Linked DNA regions of Astyanax mexicanus. The protein of the gene in region 3 interacts with the protein of the main gene of each other region in a biochemical or structural test. Links are inferred from orthologs where the notes say so. Each region holds a gene or a part of one and is shown on either strand. Other genes may lie near its edges. The genes, in order: cbx3a, lig1 and histone-lysine N-methyltransferase EHMT2-like.

Evidence for each region.
Region 1: the proteins of histone-lysine N-methyltransferase EHMT2-like (region 3) and cbx3a are reported together in a solved structure, tested with the Homo sapiens proteins (2 studies listed by BioGRID, with this or other methods). The link is inferred for Astyanax mexicanus from reciprocal best matches to the Homo sapiens genes EHMT2 and CBX3.
Region 2: of the proteins of histone-lysine N-methyltransferase EHMT2-like (region 3) and lig1, one has a biochemical effect on the other in vitro, tested with the Homo sapiens proteins (3 studies listed by BioGRID). The link is inferred for Astyanax mexicanus from reciprocal best matches to the Homo sapiens genes EHMT2 and LIG1.

The regions. Positions count from the first base shown.
Region 1 is NC_064410.1:62,356,832-62,363,901, forward strand, and holds the start of cbx3a (chromobox protein homolog 3a), read left to right. Parts: upstream 1-4,035; 5' UTR 4,036-4,183; intron 4,184-7,070.
Region 2 is NC_064411.1:574,210-581,364, reverse strand, and holds the start of lig1 (DNA ligase 1), read left to right. Parts: upstream 1-4,055; 5' UTR 4,056-4,189; coding exon 4,190-4,206; intron 4,207-5,720; coding exon 5,721-5,783; intron 5,784-5,892; coding exon 5,893-6,070; intron 6,071-6,470; coding exon 6,471-6,636; intron 6,637-7,155.
Region 3 is NW_026040041.1:5,516,360-5,523,396, reverse strand, and holds the start of histone-lysine N-methyltransferase EHMT2-like, read left to right. Parts: upstream 1-4,000; 5' UTR 4,001-4,096; coding exon 4,097-4,105; intron 4,106-5,089; coding exon 5,090-5,129; intron 5,130-6,031; coding exon 6,032-6,109; intron 6,110-6,212; coding exon 6,213-6,412; intron 6,413-7,037. Other genes in the region: uncharacterized protein LOC111190472, read left to right, coding at 1-1,337, 1,451-1,519. UniProt on the Homo sapiens protein: Histone methyltransferase that specifically mono- and dimethylates 'Lys-9' of histone H3 (H3K9me1 and H3K9me2, respectively) in euchromatin.

The DNA.
Region 1 (7,070 bases), on a different chromosome or scaffold from region 3:
AAGAGTGGTGATCTGTTCTACCTCATACCGTAACCATTAGATCCCCAAAGTTAAAAAAATGAATGAAATATGGTGAGAATTACCCCCAATCCCCAACAAACACACCCTTTAATCCTTAAACTGTTCCTTAAATAATTCCTCTGAAATTGCGGTGTTCTGATTTGTGCAAGGATTCCTATTTTCCGATTAATAAAGGAAGATAAATTAATAACTTTATGCTTCTTGTTGTTGTCTAAGTCTCCTCGTGTATGTGTGGGTTTCCTCTGTGGACTATGGTTTCTTCCCACAGTCCAAAAATATGGAGATCAGGTAAATTAGATACTCTATATTGTCCTGATGTGTATGTGTGGGTGTATGTATGACTTTGCCGAGATATGGGTGGTGTTTTCCGGTTGAGAGTACGCTCTGTGTGATTGGCTGATGCTTGTCACTGGTGTGTATGTGGTTGAGTGCAATACATGATTCTAAAGCATCATTGGGTGTCTAGAAAAGAGCTATATACATGTAGTTTCATTAAATTAAACACTTTTTAGGCATATGAATGACCAAAGCACAGCTTGGGTCCTCCAATAAATAATATACTTCTCATATTTCTCATTATAATAAATAGATTTTCAATAAAAAGGGTAGCTAGGCAAATGTACGTTTTAAACTGGAGATATGTGGCTAAAGTAGATAACTGTGGATTATGTAATGCTGTAACTGTAACTAAGTCACCCTGTTACTACACTTTTAAAAAATATATAGTTTTATCTAGAAGAAATCAAATTAACCAATTGGTTTTGCTTTCAAACAAAAAACAAGGCAAGAAATGTGGAGTAAGATGTCAAATCTGAATGAACTTGATATAAAACATGATTGTTCATGCTATATGGTTCATATAGTTGTGAAAAAAACAAGCAATTTTCAGGTCTAGGTAAGTTTTGGAAAAAATAAGTGCTATATAAGTGCAAGAGGGATGCTGGACGACTGAACAGGCTGGTGAGGAAAGCTGGTTCTGTGCTGGGATTAGAGCTGGAGTCCTTAACACCACTGGCAGAGAGGAGAGCCCTCAGCAAGCTGCTGAACATCATGGACAATGTTCACCACCCTCTGCACAGCACCATCACCAGGCAGAGGAGCTCATTCAGCGGCAGACTGCTGTCCCAGTCCTGCTCCACAGACAGACTCCGAAAGTCTTTTGTCCCTCAGGCCATAAGACTTTTCAACTCCTCTCAGCACAGCAAACTGAAGACTCTGTGACACCTTTTCTTTCCAGCAATTCTGGCCACACCATGGACATACCCCCATCTATGGTCACACTATCATGCTGATGCCCATAACACTATTTTTATAGTTCTACCCTATTTTGCACTAGTAGTTCATTCACTAGTTCATTCATCTACTGTTTACGTATCTTTTGCACTGCTAAATTTAAATTATTATATAACTGTGTATTTGCACTTTCTGTATGGCGGACATCAGTTATCCTTATCCTTACTTTATGCACATCAACTGGTGTTCGCTGTCTATTGTGTTCAACTGCACTACCTCCATTTTACATCACACACACTAAAGACTGTACTTTTATAATTTCATTTTATTTTTTATTTTGTTGTATTTATATGTATCATTTATATATATATATATATATATATATATATATATATATATATTTTTTTTTTTTTCTTTTTATCTTTTTGTAACTTTGTGTACTATACACACCTGCTGCTGGATGTCAAGAATTTCCCCTCGGGGATCAATAAAGTATCTATCTATCTATATATCTATATATATTAAGTACTATACTGTACTATGCTGCTAAAGTAAGTATAGTTGGTGTTCTATTTATTTTGTGCACAGGTGTCAAGTAATAAAGTACAAATACTTTGTTTTCTTTCTTCAAAAGTACAATTTTGGTTATTGGTTATCTACACTGAAAATATTTTTCAGATGACTTTTTAGTTCTACTCCTTACATTTTATAAACAGCCTCGTTACTCCTATTTCATTTCAGCTCATTTTTATTCCTTCTTCTCGTCCTTCGATAAAACCCCTATCCAGATAAATCTCTCCATCCAGATAGAGTGAATCTGATTGTGATTGGATGTAGAGAAGTATAAACATATACCATTCCGACTTGGTTTATACTGTGATCCATCACACTCCAGCAAGAACATAACAGACGTATGTAGTCTAGTATGAAGATGATCCGTGCAGAGACTCAAGAGAACTCCAGATAAACTCCAGTCCAACTAAACTTCTTTAATATATTTACATTCATTTACAATGGGAATAAATGCAGCTGAAACACTAGAGAACAGCCTAGAGCATCACAAATTATATTATCAACATTCATATTTTAATATTTTAACATTATAGTCATTAGGGGTGTGCGATATGTCTCTAAAATAAAATCACGATATTTCAGGGTATTTTTGCGATAACAATATACTTGGCGATATAGCAAAACTAAAATAATTCATTCATTTCAGGAATATAGTATAATAATATAACAGTATAATCATAATGTGGCAAAATAAATAATATAGCATAAAATAATATAATGCAGCAAAAAATATTGTAGAATACAGAACAGCCCTATTATCATGATATGGATTTTTAATATCATGATATTTCTGTCACAATATATTGTATACGATATAATATTGCCCACCCCTAATAGTTATTATGGCTTTTAGAAAAATGTGTTTTTATTATACTTTAAGTAGTTTTGAAACCAGTACTTTTACTTAAAGAGTAAAAAGCTTGAGTTGATACTTCAACTTCTACAGAAGTATTTTAAACACTAGTATATATACCTTTTACTCTACCTGAGTAATGCATGTGTATGGAAATACTTTTCACACTTTTGGTCGCAGCACTACTTACCCAGTGTTGCCAACTCCTCAGTAAGGAAAGTAGCTATTGGCTGTCCTAAAAGTCGCTAGAAGTCGCTAAATGACGTCATCGCCTAATTTGCATAATACATGTTTTTGAAGCTGTAAAGTATTAGGGTTGTGGGAGAGAAAAAAGTGAGTAAAAACACCATAAATGTGTTAGAAATGTTATAAAGGAACAACTTCTGTTGTTTTTTTAAATAGGACGTCACTTTTTTTTACATTAACTTCATTTTTACGTGAATTACATAAATTAGTTTTTTGCCATGTTCTTAAATGTTATTAAAAGAGCAACCGGAACTGTTATTCTATGTTTTTTTTACTTTTTTTTTAGTTTGTTTGTTTTATTTTTATTTTTTATTTTTTTTACATTTTCTTAAGTTTTCTTTATTTTTAAATATATCATAGACAAATTGTTCAATAGTTCAATAGATATTTAGCTTTGTTTTATTTATTATTTTTTTTTAGCTTTGTATTTAGCTTTGTTTTATTTTATTTGTATTTTTTTACGTTTTCTTAAGTTTCCTTTATTTTTAAACCTATCATAGACAAATTGTTCAATGGTTCAATAGATGTTTAGCTTTTTATAAAGAGTGTAACTGTGGAGGAGGTGAGTGACAGGCTGTGTGGTGAATGAGGTGAGTGAATGACTGAGACAGTGTGAGTTAAATTAAGGGATTTCTGTTCGTGTCACACTGAAGACACAGTTATATTTATACTTCTGCTCTGTAAATACAGAGCGGGGTCAGTCAGCGGCGGCTGTGGGCACGCGCGATTCATTTACAGTGTGTTCGTGGAGCGGTGTGTGTGTGTGGGTCTGCACTGTGAGTGGTGTGGGGCGGGGCTCCCGGCAGCGCCCGCTGCAGCGCGGAGGACAGGAACTGAAGAGCGCGTGTTCATCTCAGAGTCGCCAAAAGTCTCCAATAACACCACAAAAACTCGCTAGATTTGTCGCTAGTCGCTTTTTTTTTTTTACAAAAAAAGTCGCTAGAGGGTCTGAAAAGTCGCTAAATATAGCGACAAAGTCGCTAAGTTGGCAACACTGTACTTACCAAGAGAAAAACCCAGGGAGTTTAAATCCCACGCCACGCCTCTTTTACCCCTTCGCAGGAAGCCATTGGCTGTGTGTGAGCACGTAGGGGCGTGGCTGCGCTGAGGGGGCGTGGCTTGACGCACATGTTTCTTCTGCAGCCGCTTAGAGGAGCTGCTGGTTGGCGCGCTGCCAGGTGAAGCCCTGCTGAAGAAGTCCACCGTCCTGCAGCCTCCTGCTCGCTCTGTCTTTACCGGTTTCTGCACAAAGTCAAAGTAAGTCCGTCGGTACGCGCCGTGCACGAGCGTTAGCGCGCGGTGCGTCCGCTTTAGCGTCGATTATTGATCGGTTTGCGCTCTGGTTCGTTCGCTAGCCGGCTCGTGCGCTTTTGTTCGCTTGTTTTTTCGCGCGCGCGCACGCTGCACACGCGGCGTTTTCCCGCTGCAGGGGGGCCGCGCGCTTTCAGTGTTTTTAGCGTTAACTAACTGCGGCGTTTTAACGCGGTAATAACCAGCGTTTTAACGATATTAGCACTGTGTTACTTAGTTAGTAGGTTAACTACGTTATTTTGGTTATATCTGCGTTTAAATGCATGAACTATGAACTAGCCGGCTAGCTAAGTACTTAGCTTGGTTTGAGACTAGTAACTTTAGCTAGATTTAGCTAGATTCATTTAAGTTATAGCTAAATATTGTTTTAAAATGACGCTGTACGACTAAACTAGTGTTTGTAAAGTCAGTTAAACACTACATAACATTAGTTCATTCTTAGTAAGCTAATGTATATGTTTATATTTGGCTGACTCCGTTTTTAGTGGCTAGGTTAACTAGGTAGTAAGCATTGTTGCACATACAGGCCTGTTCTTATTTGGATGTGGTTAACCAACTAAGTTATCTAACCCAGTTCTTTAGCTAGCTGAACAGTTAAGTTAACTAAGGATACAGTTTAATGAGCCAGTTGGCTTTGTTTATACTGGCATTTAAATGTATCAGCCGCCCATAAACCAGCCGGTTAGCTTTGGTAGCCTAGCTAGCTTGCTTACCTACGTTAGAAACTTTAGTAAGACCAGTACATTTCAATAGCTTTACTATTAACACTATTATCAAGTAGTTTTAAACCCAGTTATCATCACATGACGTTAGTTAATACATAGATAGCAAAAAAAAATAGCCACATATATTTAACTTTACTCTTGTAGTACACAAACTAGCTAATAAGCATGGTTACACATACAGGCCTGCTCGTATTTGGATGGTATCTACCTAATTAGGGTTATTTAACTTGGTCTAATTCTTGTAGATAAAGCAGTAAAATATTGTCTATAGCTAGCTTTAATTATTTGGCCTTAATTTCTTAGGCATTTAAGTGGATCAGCAGCACATTAACATTTAAGAGGGCTATCTAGCCTATTAGCTGGGTAGTTTAGCATACTCTTTTAAATTAAACCCGTAACTTGTATTACCGTGCTAGCTAGTTGTTTAACTTGGCTTTTAGGATAGTAGCTAAGCATTTGTAGTGGTAAATATTTAAGTCATATTAACTGCACATAACTGTATTTTAAGTTAATTTAAGATTGGATAAGGTAGCTAGCTAATACGCTGTGTTGCACATACAGGCCTACTCGTATTTGGATGCGTTAGCATTTGCTAACTAGGCGGCTAACGTGGTCTAGTAGTCGTCTAGCTAAATTTTTCTTTTAAGTATATATTTTTAAGTATATTTATTTCTAACTAACACAATTTAATTCAGTATTAGCCTTTACAAGCTAAGTTACGTTAATAATGAAAAATCCTTTTTAAAATGAGCTTCGGCCTACTCCTAGCTAGTTAGCATTAGCCTGTTAACTCGGTTAGCAAGCTAGCGAGCACAAAGCATCGTCGTTTTGTGGTTAAAATCTCGTGTGTGACTGTTAAACTCTGTCTACTTTGTAGGTAGAACATACATTCGTGATTTTATGCGTAATTCAGATTTTGTTGCCTTAATTCTTTAATGACCATCTCTGTTTTCGCCCTCTCCGTCGTAGCCAGCTAACGCTAATTAGCTTCAGTTGTTAGCTAAGCTAACGTTAACTAGCTGCAAAGCCAGCGTTTGGAAAGCTGAGGCGCCGGGTACAGAAACCGTGCAACAAATGCACCATTAAATACAGGATATTTTTATTTATAGTTAGTTAGTTTAGGTATTAAAACACACATTTATACATTGATGGCAGATAAATAGCAAGTTAGTCTTTTACAATGGCATAACAGATCAGAAGCAGCGTTTAAAGCTCCTGTATATAACAATGAAGTTGTGATATGTTACAAGATAACAATAAAAAATAAAAAAATAACAATCGTTATATTATTAGATTAAGGTCATAATAGTACGAAAGAATAAAGTCGCAGTATTTTGAGGAAAATATACTTCTAACTGCTTGGGCTGCTAGTTAAAAACAGAGCAAGTAGGAGGGAAATTAGCATTTTCTGCTCATGATCTGTTACAAGGCTGCTGTGATTATCATCAGTTCTCTATATTTCTAAACTGCTGCTGATTAATGCTCTAGTGTTACAATTAGATAGTACATTGTCCTGTGGTGGTGTCCCGATTTCCCCACCGTGATTGTATTTATGTTCCTTGGGTCTCAAAAAAGTCGTAAATAAAGGAAAAAAAAACTTTTACTGATGAGGAATGACTGGTACTGCTGTAAGCATTTAAGGTGGAACGAAAATCTGAAATGTTTTTGGTAATTTCCCATTTTTGTTTGCTCATCAAATAAACACACGATACAAGCCGTTGTTTGTTTTAGAATGAATGAATTAAATATATATTTTTTTAATTGTCCGACTTTAGATTCTCAGTTGAAAATCAAAGGAACAAATAGGTTTTAACAAAAGCAGGATAAATGGTAGAGATGCTAGAGTGGTGTAAAAAAAAACACAACAACCCAGTATTGGAGCAGCTCTGGAGCAGTGAAATTTTTCTTTTCTGGCATAATGAAGCTCTGTCCAAGCGAGCTGTCTGCAATATCTTATCGTATACAATGATCTTGAAAGCAGTTTTGTGGTATTTTGTTCTCATTTTGTTGCTTACTGTGTTTACTTTAAATTGTTTTGCAATTTACATGCACTAAATGTTACACTTGAGGTTTTTATCACTTTATTTTTGATGTATACTCTAATGAAT
Region 2 (7,155 bases), on a different chromosome or scaffold from region 3:
AAATAAAAAAAAGAAAACGTAAAATAAAAGCTAATCAAAGCTAATTTCAGCTCACCATCACAATCCCCCCCTTCTGAAAACATATGATAAAGCCCTAAAGTTAACTAGTTAACCAGCAGCAGCAGCTAGGTTGCTGAACTTTAGCGCTCCACTGCTATAGTTAGCTATATCTGTATCGGGTGCTTGAAGTGTTGTCTCAAATCTTAGGGGGAGGATTTAATCTGACACTGGGAGCCTGAAAGGGTTAAATAATGAATCAGTACAGAAGGCAGCTTGGTGTGGCACATCATGTGATTGGTCATTAGAACGCTGTTCCCGTCAAAGATGAAATGAAAGCACTTTTTACGGTGCTGCCATTGGCATTTCTCACTGCCACAAACAATAATATACTGTAGCTACAAAACAAATACAGTTCATTTACATCATTTCCAAACCAGTTCTAATAGAAACAGAGACAGGAAGTAATCAGATTACAGTTACAGTAATGTTTTCATTCCTTTTATTCGTTCTTTAATTGACTTTAATTGATTAAAACAATTCTGTAACATGAGACAACACGCCAAAACAAAAGTGAAAGTATGATTAGAGAAGTGATATGCTGCTGGTGTTACATCAACTGACAGCAATGCAGGTAAGAATGCCTTCGTGGAAATTTGTGAACTTTCCTGGAATTGAAAATCTGCACGTAGTGAGATTATGCAATACTTATATACATGTAAACAGAATGTGAAAATTATTAGTGTCAATTATTATTCATGGATAATATGAACCAGATCCTTCCATCGGATTGCCAAATGCATGATTTCAGAGAAATTCAAATAACACTATATATTTGTTATGCTTTTAAATGTGCGAAATTGTAGAAACTGTATAATGCTCAAGTTAGACCTGAATAAAACTTGTGTTGTTGTTTCTTATTTTAACAGCAGTTAAAATGCTTATACGATTAAAAGACATTGAAGCATTTTTTTTGTTAAGGAAACCCATTAAACACACCAAACAAACACAGGCTTCGCAAATATAGAGCATAGTACTCAACAGGGACTCTGTTTTACTAGGTTTAGTTTATTAATTCATTAATTATTATGTCTCCTTTATATTGTTCACTCAGTAAAAAAAATCACTAAAATCACTGAAAGGATTTTGTTTTATATTAGCTGATGTTAGTTATTCTGTGATTCTGTGTCTCTTAGCATAATTTTGTTTTATTTTCTGTTTTGAATGTAGAGTGAGGCTATCTGTTCTCATCCGCTTCCAAAAATGTGAAGTCAAAGAAGAAGTTGAAGGTTTTACCGAGGAGGAGGAGAAGGAGGAGGCCACTGAATATTGAGTAGCAGTTTCTCAGGACTGACTGTTTTCTCTTGAACTGAGGACTTTTATTGTAGTACAAAATAATGTTGTATTTAAAAAAAAAGGTTTTGCATACTACATTCTCCAAATAAGGATGCAACATTTCCAACCCACTGTACTTTTACTTTTATACTTGAAGTAGTTTTGAAACCAGTACTTTTACACTTTATTTTTGAGTAAAAAGCTGTTGATACCCCAGATACTTAAGTATTTCTAACCCCTAGTATCTACACTTTTACCTCAGTCATGAATGTGAATACTTTCTACACTTCTGTTAAACTCTGACAGAGATGTACATGCGCAGTTTCACTTTGGGCCAAAGGTTTGGAACCTATGCCTCCTAGTGGAACAAGAGGCAAAAAAAGATGTGAGTCAATAATTAAGGACTAAATACATACAGTATGTGAATTAGATTAAGAGCCATTCCACTGAATCTGTGTTTTTTCTGTTCCCATGCAATTACATATATAAATGTGCACACAAAATAACTTTAATAAAAACTATTTAGAACACTGAAAAAATAGCATTTGTTACCTGTCCCCACTCTCTAACTATAAATTTTACCATGAAATATAATTATTAAAATCCTTCAGAGATATGATTATTTTGCATTTTAAAATAATCATCTTTTTAAAATGTGTTTTTTTTCATAATAAATCCATAATATTTAAGTTAAACATTTTGTTGTGTCCCTGGGTTTCACTCAGTCCTGTTACCGTAACACATTACCCCTTATCATTTACAACAGGAAGTGACATCAGCTGGTTATTCTGAAGATCCCTCATTTGTTTTTTCTATATATATATATATATATATATATATATATATATATATATATATGGAGAAGTTCTAGTAACAGGAGTGAGTGACAGTAACAGGACTGTTTTTTCGTCTTAAATATCAATTTTTGAACATGCTGTCAACTATTTCTTTAAAATAAAGACTTTCTTCAAATAAACTCAATGGAATTGAGTGGACTTGCTTTTACATATGCTTTTTAAATGTCACATTAGTTTTATGACCATCTTCGGATTAGAAACCTTGTAAAAAAAAAACAAGTAAAGCTGCCTGAGTTTGACAAGTACATGTTTTGAATAGTTAAATATATGTTATTAGATTCATAGTTTCAAAAAAAAAAAAAAAATTGGAAGAGTTACAACAAGGAAATGGCACTTATTCGGTGGAATGGCACGTAAATAAATAAATAAATAAATGTGTGTTTAAGTACTGTTTTACTTAAAACACACACAATCGTATGTTGATATTTTTAAGGAAATTAAAAATATATATATATTTTGAATATTTTTTTGCATTTGTCATTATTACAGTGAATCAGTTCATTATTACACATGAATCATAAGAAATAAATCCCAATGCTTTATTTATGATTATTCTCCTCCAGTCCAGCACGCGGCGCACTCTGCAGCTCGCGCGCCCTCCCAGGCCGTGGGGCGCGCGTTTATTATAGAAAGTTCGATTCTGATTCCGAATCGACTCCTTTGACTCTTTTTAGTGAATCAGTGACTCAAAGACTCATTGAACGTCTAGCCATCTTTCTACACGTTTTTATAAACATTACAAGCTTTTTACTACAAGAGTGAAAATAAAATAATAAAGATAGAGTATAAAGGAGTGAATAAACAGCTGGAGTTTGTGTCGATCACTACAGTATAAAGTGCTGTAGACTCAGAACAGCGAACATGATTGCATGTTTTATTTATATTTGCTCATTAATGTTTTAAATTTTAGACTTTTATGTTTCACAGATGTTTTTAAAATAATTTAGACATTTCATCAATTTATTTAGTTAGTTTCCTAAAACCCTTTTTTTGCAGAAGCACCCCACAGTTCTGACTTTTTAAAGTCAAATGAAAATAAGCATAAACTTGGACCTGTGTAACACTGAAATCGCACTAAATGACATTTCAGCACAATTTTACCCCCTGATTTTGAATTGTGATGATCGAGTCTGTACTAGTTGGCTCTAGTTTGCAGTCAGAGTGAACGTCTTGTACTGTTTAATGGCCTGAGACTCGATTTTTAGCTTCAAAAACCGACTTCAGTCACATAAAATCAAATGTTTGATGTTTTCAAGTCAATTTTTGGGGTAATCTGGTAGTGTAAACTCTTCACCAACTCAAGTCTGAACCGACTCCATTGGCCGCCAATGAAAACAGACTGATTCCGAGCATCAAGGAGCCGTAAATGATATGCGGTAGACTCCCGCAATTTCCGGGAGACTTGGGAGGGCTGTGTACTGTAGCCAAGGCTTTTAAGTGAAGTGGATAACCTGAGAGCTTACGCACTTCCAATTTTTTTTTGTAATATCAAATTATCAAAATTTGCCATTTTTGGTTAAACAACATAAATCACATAAAATAAAAGAATAATACATTAAACTGAATGTATGGTACATAAATCATAAAAAAAATACTTTGTCAATATTCTTTAAAATTTCACCCTTGAAAGAAGAATGTTTGAGAAGAAATACTAGCTACCAAAAGAAATATCCTCCATCATTTTAATATCAGAATCACAGAACTTTTTCAATTATTTTAATCAATATACATTGTACATTTCATTAATAACGGGAAGGACAGTAAAGTACCAAGCACTGGTACTGAAAGCTTCTGCCAGTGTTTACTGAATCACTGAATCGCTGATTCCCTCGGCTCACGAAAAAGAACCGGTTCAAAGAGTGATTCAGTTGACGTCAGTTTGGCGCCGAATGGTCGGGGTTTGAGCGCGCGGGAGATTGTGCGGATGGAAACAGTGGAGCTGCTGTAGAAACGGATTATCTGAATTCTGATCTTAAATCGAATTTAATTCAGGAGTCACCATGCAGCGTAGCATCGCGTGAGTGTCCTCGTCTAATATAACTCTAATATAACTCCAATATAACTCTAATATAACTCAGTGTCCGGAGATAAACTCTGTAGTTAGCTTAGCTGAACTTTTCACTGATAGAGTAGCTGAGTTAGCCCTGCTGTGAATATTAAACTCCAGCTAGGCTAGTCTAATAGTTAAGTTAGCTTAGCTATACAAATATCTGGCTATGTTAATTTACCTAAATAACTGTACTGTAGGTAGAAAAGTTGAGATAATGCTAGCTGGGTTTAGCCGTGGCTAACTGAACCTCCTGATAATGGAGAATTGAAGCAGCATTTTCCGTTGGGGAACAAAGATAACTAACGTTGGTTAGCTAAGTTATTTAACTATCTACGCTAAGCTAAGCTAAGCTAAGCTATGCTATCCTAGCTAACTAGTGTCAGTTTACCCTCACAGAGTATTTTACCTGGTTAAAGCCTGAGTTTAATCTCGCTGAAACCGAGGAACAGACTCTCTCACAGATCCTCAGAGCTGTGCTGTTAGTGAACTGCAGGCTGATTTAGCCTGAAACGAGTTTTAGCCACATAAATTACACTCTGTAATTGCGTTTTACTAGTGAACACTTTCTGGCTTTCCGTAATGCAGTTTTTACTCCAATTTCAGATGTAATTTGTATTCTTGTGCCCGAAAACGGCACGTGTGAAATTCTCATTAATTTACAACAAACTTGTCAGAACTGAATTAGAAAGATTTTATTCGCATTTGTACTGGTCAGAATTAATTTCTGCTACTCAAACAACTCAAAATCAGAACATCTGCAACATGACCTGATGCTTTAGCCTAAAATAGCACCATCGGTACAAACCCTGAATCCTGTTTTTACTGCTAAAAGCTCACAGATTTCTGTAATGCAGTTTCTACTCATTTCAGATCAGTCATTGTATTAGTCACCCAAAACTGCTCATGTGTTGAATACTTATTATTCTAAGCTGGTTAAAAGTACATTAGAAAGGTCCTGAATTAATGTAATACATTTATTATTAATACCTTCTTGTAAAAAAGAAAAAACTATAATGAACTTTCGTGAACTATCATTTAAGATTAGGATTGGGTATACTTTTTATGTTCACAATTGAAGTGAAAAATTATATTGGCCATCATTTTCCTTTGGTAGATATGCCATTAATTATGAGAACATTGCAAATTTTCCTTTTAAATCAGGCACCAATTTATTTTTTTTACACATTAATTAAAGATATTGCATGATCTGTGATTTGACTGGCTTTTTTTTATATATAACTAAAACTACATTAAGGGCTTGTCCTCCTATATAGATCTGTAGGTTTCAGATTACTAGTAAATGTACATAGCTTTCAGAACACTTTGGGTCGGTTTCCAGGACATCGATTAAGACTATGTTTTGCTTTCTGTTGAAAATGCAGACTAGACTTAATGCCCTTTCTGGAAATCTTCCCCTTGTATCTTAAATTATTGTTATGCTACTATGTCGCTTCATTTAATTCGTGCATCTGCTTCCTCAGGTCTTTTTTCCAGCCGATGAAATGTAAGGAGAAGAAAGACGAACCAGCTAAAGTGAAGTCTGAGTAAGTAAAGTTGCCCAGCCTTTTTTTTTTTTAAATATCTCTATACTAATATAGGCTTTGCGTAAATATTCGCCATCTGCTGTTTTTTATACTCTTTCTTGCCACCCAGACCAATCAAAAGCCCACTGAAAACTCAGAATGGTGAGAGAGACTGTGATTCTCCTGTAAAGAAGACAAGCAAACGAGCTCGAGCGATCATCGACAGTGATGATGAAGAACAGCCGACAGTAAAGAACGAGGTCTCCAAGCAGGAGGAAGAACAAGCTACCAAGCCGGACAAGGAGAAGGTACAGCGCGTTTTACTCGCCTGATTACAGTGTGTTTAATGGGACTGCAGAAAAACCCTTAGGGTTTTTATAACATTGAGCAATGAACTTTTAATTGTTAAGGTCTCAATGCTGAGTGTCTCAAAATAGGTAATATTGAGGTAAAAATGGTTGAGCTCATGTTTGTCTTGCATGGTGAGTTGGTAACCTAAATAGGTCTAAATATAGTTCTTTGGTTTCAAGAGTGAGTAACTGAATTGTGTTGTCTTGCATGCAAAGTTATGTTAAGTTGTAATTGGGATAAGTACTAAACAAAGGTAGTTAATGTTATTAAATTACATTTCTTTTTGTTTATTCACTGCTTTAGTGCTTTGTTATTAATAACAAACTTCCATTCTTTTTTGTTTTCTTTCACTGATAGGCCGATGTTAAAGTCAGTGCCAGTCCACTTTCACCAAAGCCCCTCGCTACCCCAACAACCCCCGCCACGCCGGCAACTCCAGCATTATCTGCAGCTTCAGGCACACCTGGAACTCCTGCTACTCCAAATTCCACCTCACCCTCTGGAATTCCAAAACGCAGGACTGGTGAGTGTCTGTCTGCACGTTGGATTGGATTTCTTTTTCATAGTTACTGCAGTGTTTCTGCTACATAGGTTCTGCAGCTGTGGTACTGGTACTGGAGAAAAGTGTATTACACTAGCTAATATCAAGTTAAATATTTGGTTTTACATTTTAGAACAACATTCACAATATAGGGCAAAGCTCATCACAAACTGCTAGCATGCTTCAATGGACAGACGCCATACAGTGTTTGCTATAATGTGCCCTGCAGCATTTTAACAGTACTACTTTGAATTTTAAACCATATTGAGACAACATAAATCCAGAATTGTGAGTTTGCTAAGCTAATATTACTATCCTAGCCCTGTACAGCTCCTTATCTTTCAGTTGGAAAACAGTTTGTGAGGAGTTTGTAAACTGATAGCAAGCATAAGTAATACATTAAGTATAAATAAAAAGTATATTGGCATTACATTTTTGCCTCACTGCCAGCATTGTATTTAACAGGGCTCTAATATTAGGGTTGCCAGATTGCAACAGTCC
Region 3 (7,037 bases):
TGTGCAGGGAGCTGAAGGACTTCGTTGTTCATATGAGTGTTTACCCAGATGTGATTATCGTCGCTGCATTGCCCGAGATGACCGAGCAGTTCCAAGTGATGCTGAAGAATTCAGATCCATGCGTAACGCATATCCTCTACTACAACAGCACATTTAACCTGGAGAACTTCTACGTGACGCCTCTTCTTTTTTGCCACAATGATTTTGAGGAGAGCCCAACTTTTCCGTTAGCTTTCCACATTCACCAGTGCCAGAAAGAGAGAGCTCACACCATATTTCTAGAGGAACTTCTATGTCTTCTGCCAGATCTGAACTCCAATCGATTTGTGATTTGCACTGATTGCGAGGCTGTCGTTGAGAACTCTGTCAAAAATGTCTTACCCAACGCTTCTGCATTCAACAGCTTCCGTCAAGTTCTGTACCATCTGAGATACAAAGTGATGTTTTGTGAAGAGGATGACATTGAGGACAATGTGCAAGGGTACATGAACAATTTGAGGAGTCTTATTTGTTCGGAAACTGAAGAACAATGGAGGGTTAAACTTGGTTACTTTTCTGTTACCTGGAGCACTGCCTTCCTTGAGTACTTCCAGATGCACCTGGAGGCCCTGACAAAAAGGTCTGCCAGGTTTACCCTCAAAGCACTTGGCCTACCAGAAGATGAAAAGATCACTAGTACTTTTCAAGAACTCAGTATGATGCTGATACAGATGAGGCATAGGAAACTCAGACTGGAAACGACTGTATTCACGACATTCCAGATCTCGATGTACTTCCTAAACGAAGTCTTGAGAAGCAGTTGCAACATGGGGCCCTACAAACCCACTCCCGCAAGCTCCAGAAGTGCTACCGACATGGATGATGTTGACTTCCCAGAGTTTGTTATGACCCCGAAAGAGATTGTCCACTTCTTTAAGAACAGTTTGGCTGATGACAGTGACACCATGCCAGAGCAGGAGGCATCAGGAGGGTACGACCTGGCATCAATGCGACCAATGGCAGAACTGATCATTGAGAAGAACAAAATAAGTCTTGAGCCCAGCATAAAGTCGTTCTTTGTAACGGGGTGGAGGGGCCAGAAATACGTTGTTAAAGTCTACCCAGAAGAACGATGCTCTTGCTTCTTGGCTCACCACTGCTGCCACATACTGGCGGCACGTACGGCTATCGGATTAGAGAAGGAAAAGAAGGAAAAACCTTCCTTCAGATTATGGAAAATGTGTCGGACGGCTGAAACAACACCATCGGGGGAAAAGGGAACCAGTGTTGTACCTCTGAAGGAGGTCAAGTTCACACAGTGTTTCCCAGACGCTTGTGGTGGCGACGCTCACAATAAGGTGAGGTTAAAGATGGCACTGTACACGATGATCTACACCCATTTCCATGAACCCAGTCCTGTTCAAACTAATCTGATTATGCCTCTGAAAATTCATGCTTTCTGTTTTTCCAGAATTACCTGATCCTAGAGGACTCCAGTTCTAGCAGTGAATCTGAGGAAGCTAACGAAGACTCTGAATAAAACCTTCCCATCACAGCTGGTCTACTTTTGTTCTGAAACCAAAGTCTTATTTTGTTATTCAGCTAAAAAGCAAGCCTAAGTTGTATTTTATTCTCTAAATAATGTGGTCTAATTTTGTTAGCATGTCTAATTAATAGTTGTTAGCCCATGTTTAATTTCATTTTTCAGCCAATGAGCTAGTCTGATTTTGTTATTTAGCCAATAAGCTAGTCTTATTTTGTTAATCAGCCAATAAGCTGGTCGGATTTTGTTATTTAGCAAAAAGCTAGTCTGATTTTGTTATTCAGCCAATAGGCTGCTCTGATGTTCTTATTCAGCCAATACGATAGTCTGATTTTGTTATTCAGTCTATAAGCTCCCCAGTTTTTGTTATTTGGCCAATAAGCTATGATTTTGTTATTTAGCAAAAAACTGGTCTGATTTTGTTTTTCAGCCAATAGGCTGGTCTGATTTTGTTATTTAGCCAATAAGCTGCTTTGATTTTGTTATTCAGCCAATAAGCTGGTCTGATTTTGTTATTCAGCCAATAAGCTAGTCTGATTTTGTTAATCAGCTAATGCATTGGTCTGAATCTTGTTATGAGCCAATGAGCTTTTTTGTGTTACGCCAGTGTCTGATTTTGCTACTTAGCCAATAAGCTAGTCTAATTTTGATATTAAAGCCAATGAGCTTACTTGCTTGTTTGTTTTTTCAGCAAATAAACTAGTCTGATTATGTTATTCAATAAATAGGCAATTGGCTAGATTGATTTTGTTTTTTAGCCAATAAGATGGTCTGATTTTGTTATTTACAATGAATTAGTCTGATTTTGTTATTGAACCAAGGAGCTGGACTGAATTTTTAGATTTTTGTTACTCAGACAATGTCTGATTTCGTTAGTTAGCAAATAAACTACCCTGTTGCTTGAACGTTAGGTGAACATTGCTTAAATGTTAAGTGAGCATTAGTTAAACCGTGCTTGAATGTTAGGTGCGTGTTAGTTGAATATTTCTTGAATGTTAGGTGAGCACTATTTAAACCTGATTAAATATTAAGTAATTGTTAGTTGAACATTGTGTAAATGTTAAGTGAGCGTTAGTGTTACTTGAATGTTAAGTGAGCACTTTTTAAACCTGATTAAATATTAAGTAATTGTTAGTTAAACATTGTGTAAATGTTAAGTGAGCGTTAGTCAGACGTTGCCTAAATGTTAAGTGAGCGTTAGACGTTGCCTAAATGTTAAGTGAACGTTAGTTAGACGTTGCCTAAATGTAAAGTGAGCATTAGTTAAACCTTGCTTGAATGTTAGGTGCGTGTTAGTTGAATATTTCTTGAATGTTAGGTGAGCACTATTTAAACCTGATTAAATATTAAGTAATTGTTAGTTAAACATTGCGTAAATGTTAAGTGAGCGTTAGTTAGACGTTGCCTAAATGTTAAGCAAGCGTTAGTGTTACTTGAATGTTAAGTGAGCACTTTTTAAACCTGATTAAATATTAAGTAATTGTTAGTTAAACATTGTGTAAATGTTAAGTGAGCGTTAGTCAGACGTTGCCTAAATGTTAAGTGAGCGTTAGACGTTGCCTAAATGTTAAGTGAACGTTAGTTAGACGTTGCCTAAATGTAAAGTGAGCATTAGTTAAACCTTGCTTGAATGTTAGGTGCGTGTTAGTTGAATATTTCTTGAATGTTAGGTGAGCACTATTTAAACCTGATTAAATATTAAGTAATTGTTAGTTAAACATTGCGTAAATGTTAAGCGAGCGTTAGTTAGACGTTGCCTAAATGTTAAGCAAGCGTTAGTGTTACTTGAATGTTAAGTGAGCACTTTTTAAACCTGATTAAATATTAAGTAATTGTTAGTTAAACATTGTGTAAATGTTAAGTGAGCGTTAGTCAGACGTTGCCTAAATGTTAAGTGAGCGTTAGACGTTGCCTAAATGTTAAGTGAACGTTAGTTAGACGTTGCCTAAATGTAAAGTGAGCATTAGTTAAACCTTGCTTGAATGTTAGGTGCGTGTTAGTTGAATATTTCTTGAATGTTAGGTGAGCACTATTTAAACCTGATTAAATATTAAGTAATTGTTAGTTAAACATTGCGTAAATGTTAAGTGAGCGTTAGTTAGACGTTGCCTAAATGTTAAGCAAGCGTTAGTAAGTGTTACTTGAATTTTTTTTTTAACCTGATTAAATATTTTTTGAACCTGATAAAATATTAAGTAATTGTTAGTTGAACATTGCTTGAATGTTAGGTGAACGTTTGTTAAACGTTGATTGAATGTCAGGTGAGTGTTAGGTGAACGTTGCTTGAATGTCAGGTGAGCACTATTTAAACATGAATGAAGCGATTGCTAATTGAAGGTTAGTTAAACGTTGCTTGAATGTTAGTTAAATGTTCAGCTAATGTTCAGCTAACTGTCTCAGTCTGTGGGAGTCGCGGCGGGTAAGTAAACGGTTTGCGAAAGGGGACTTTTATTTTGAAGGCGCGTTTCTCCTGTAGCCATTTTGAACGGAGCCCCGCTCCGGTGTGTTTTTATCTCTTTACTGTTTGAGTTTTTCTGTGTTTAATAAAGAAAAGCTGCAGAGAGAGAGAGAGACATGGAGGAGGTGAGTTCAGATTAACAGCAGATTAAAGATTGATTTAACCAGTTTAACTGAGTGTGAGCGGATTAATCCCGGGTTTAGAGGATAAATAATGATCTACAGCTCTTTATCTTTATTATTAATCACACACTGATTTATACACTGATAAATACACAACATTATACTTATTAACACTGTAGCTGGGGGTAAATATGTGTTTATAGTGTTTTTATAGGTATATAAACTGTGAACACTGTGTTATTACTGCAGTCTGGTAGATAATCTAATAATACAGCAGTGAATAGAGCATTCAGTTACCTACTGTTATTATTCATTATAACATTATGACATGTATTTATGTGAAACTCATAATATTATATAGATGTATTAAACAGAGTGGTCTATTTTAAGAGTTTATTTATTTTATTGTTGATGATTATGGCTTACAGCCAATGAAAACCCAAAATAAGACCAATTGTACTTTTGGCAGTGTGGGCAGTGTGCCAAATCCTGCTGGAAAATGAAATCTGCATCTCTATAAAAGTTGTTTTCAGCAGAGGGAAGCTGTAAGATATGAAGTGCTGTAAGATTTTGTGGGAAAACAAAACTGCACTGACTTTAGACTTGATAATAAAACACAGTGGATCAACACCAGCAGATGACAGACATGCCTCTCCAAACCACCACTGATCATCAGTAAATTTTACATTTCATTTAAAGTAAATCAAGGTATCAGAGTCTGGAGGAAGAGTGGAGAGACACACAGTCCAAACTGCTCGAGGTCTAGTGTGAAGTTTCCACCAATCAGTGATGGTTTGGAGAGTCATGTCTGATATCTGCTGGTGTTGATCCACTGTGTTTTATTATCAAGTCTAAAGTCAAAATCTTACAGCACTTCATGCTGAACCTCTTCTGACAACGTTTAAAACCAGCCTAATTTAAAAAATAATGTTGGAAAGTACCTGTAAAGGTCTGTAATGTGATTTATTCTGTTGTTTTATTGTCCAGAGTCCATCTGAGAGCCGACCAGCGCACTCCAAACCCTCAGGTGATGCTCCTCTCCTTCATACACACTCTAACCTACGTGTTCCTTAGAAGTAATGAAATACACCAGTCCTGCTTAAATTTTAATAAACACTTTCTAACCTTTAAAAAAAAGCTCTTTTATTGTGGTAAACGCGTCTCACTGAGAAGTACTGCTTAGGCCAGTCAGCTCTCCACTCTGCTCCGCCCCTAAACCCATACATCACCAAGTGCTCCTCCCAAACTACTCTTCACATTATTTTTTTAACCTGTTTTCAAATTTGATCTTAGGGTGGAGTCAGCTAAAATCAGAGGGGAAGATACGATAAGAAAATTTGTTTCTCTGATTTTGCTATTTATAGGTTTATGTTTGAGTAAAATGAACATTGTTGTTTTATTCTATAAACTACAGACAACATTTCTCCCAAATTCCAAATAAAAATATTCTCATTTAGAGCATTTATTTTATAGAAAATGAGAAATGTCTGAAATAACAAAAAAAAAAAGATACAGAGCTTTCAGACCTTAAATAATGCAAAGAAAACAAGTTCATATTCATAAAGTTTTAAGAGTTCAGAAATCAATATTTGGTGGAATAACCCTGGTGGTTTTTAATCTCAGTTTTCATGCATCTTGGCATCATGTTCTCCTCCACCAGTCTTACACACTGCTTTTGGATAACTTTATGCTGCTTTACTCCTGGTGCAAAAATTCAAGCAGTTCAGTTTGGTGGTTTGATGGTTTGTGATCATCCATCTTCCTCTTGATTATATTCCAGAGGTTTTTAATTTGGTAAAATTTAAAGAAACACATGTTAAGGAGTCTGTCTCACCAAATTTGTCTCTTCTTACTTTCTACACATTAAACTAAAGTCTCTCAATAAAAGTTGGTTTCCTGACTTATCTTAATTTACCTTTATCTTTAAAGAGAGTCTAAAGGAGAAGGAGAAAGATGGGGGGAGCAGTGAGAACACAGCGACGTCCAGCTTCACCAAACCATATACAGGTAAACCTGCAGTTAACACGCAAGCTCTGCTGTGTCCAATCAAATTACACCACCATGATCATGTGACCGCTGATCTCTCTCTCTCTCTCTCTCTCTCTCTCAGGTCATGCTGCTAAGTCCGCTCCTCCCTCGTCTCCGTCTGCATCCTCCGGTCGAGCGAAGATGAGTGTATGTGGGCCGGGCAGTAAAAACCCCTCCTCCTCCTCCTCCTCTTCCTCTCTTTCTTCATCCTCCTCTTCCTCAGCCCCACCCCCTAAAGTCCACCGCGCCCGCAAGACCATGAACAGACCCCCCATCACACAGGTGACCATTAGCAATTACATATTACTGTTATAACAGTGACTGAATTATTTTTAGGTAATGTGTCATTTATAGCAGGAACTGAATTATGTCTATTAGATGCTAAATCATACGTAGCAGATACTGAATCATTTGTATTAGGTGCAGAATTATATAAGGTAGTTACTGAATCATCTTGTAGTAGATACTGAATAATTTATAGTAGATACAGAATTAAATATATATATATATATTTATATATATATATATTTATAGTAGAATTAAATATATATATCATTTAAGGTAGATACTGAATCACTTGTGTTGGGTACAAAATAATATATGGTAGTTACTGAATCATTTATACAGCTAACTGAATCATATTGTAGTAGATACCGAATCATTTATACAGCTAACTGAATCATATTGTAGTAGATACTGAATCATTTATACAGCTAACTGAATCATATTGTAGTAGATACTGAATCATTTGTGTTGGGTACATAATTATACATATGGTAGCGACTGAATCATTTGTAGGATTTACTGAGTCATTTTTGTAGTAGATACTGAATTATTTGTGTTGGGTACAGAATGATATATATGGAAATGACTGAATCAATTATAGGAGGTACTGAATCATTTTGTA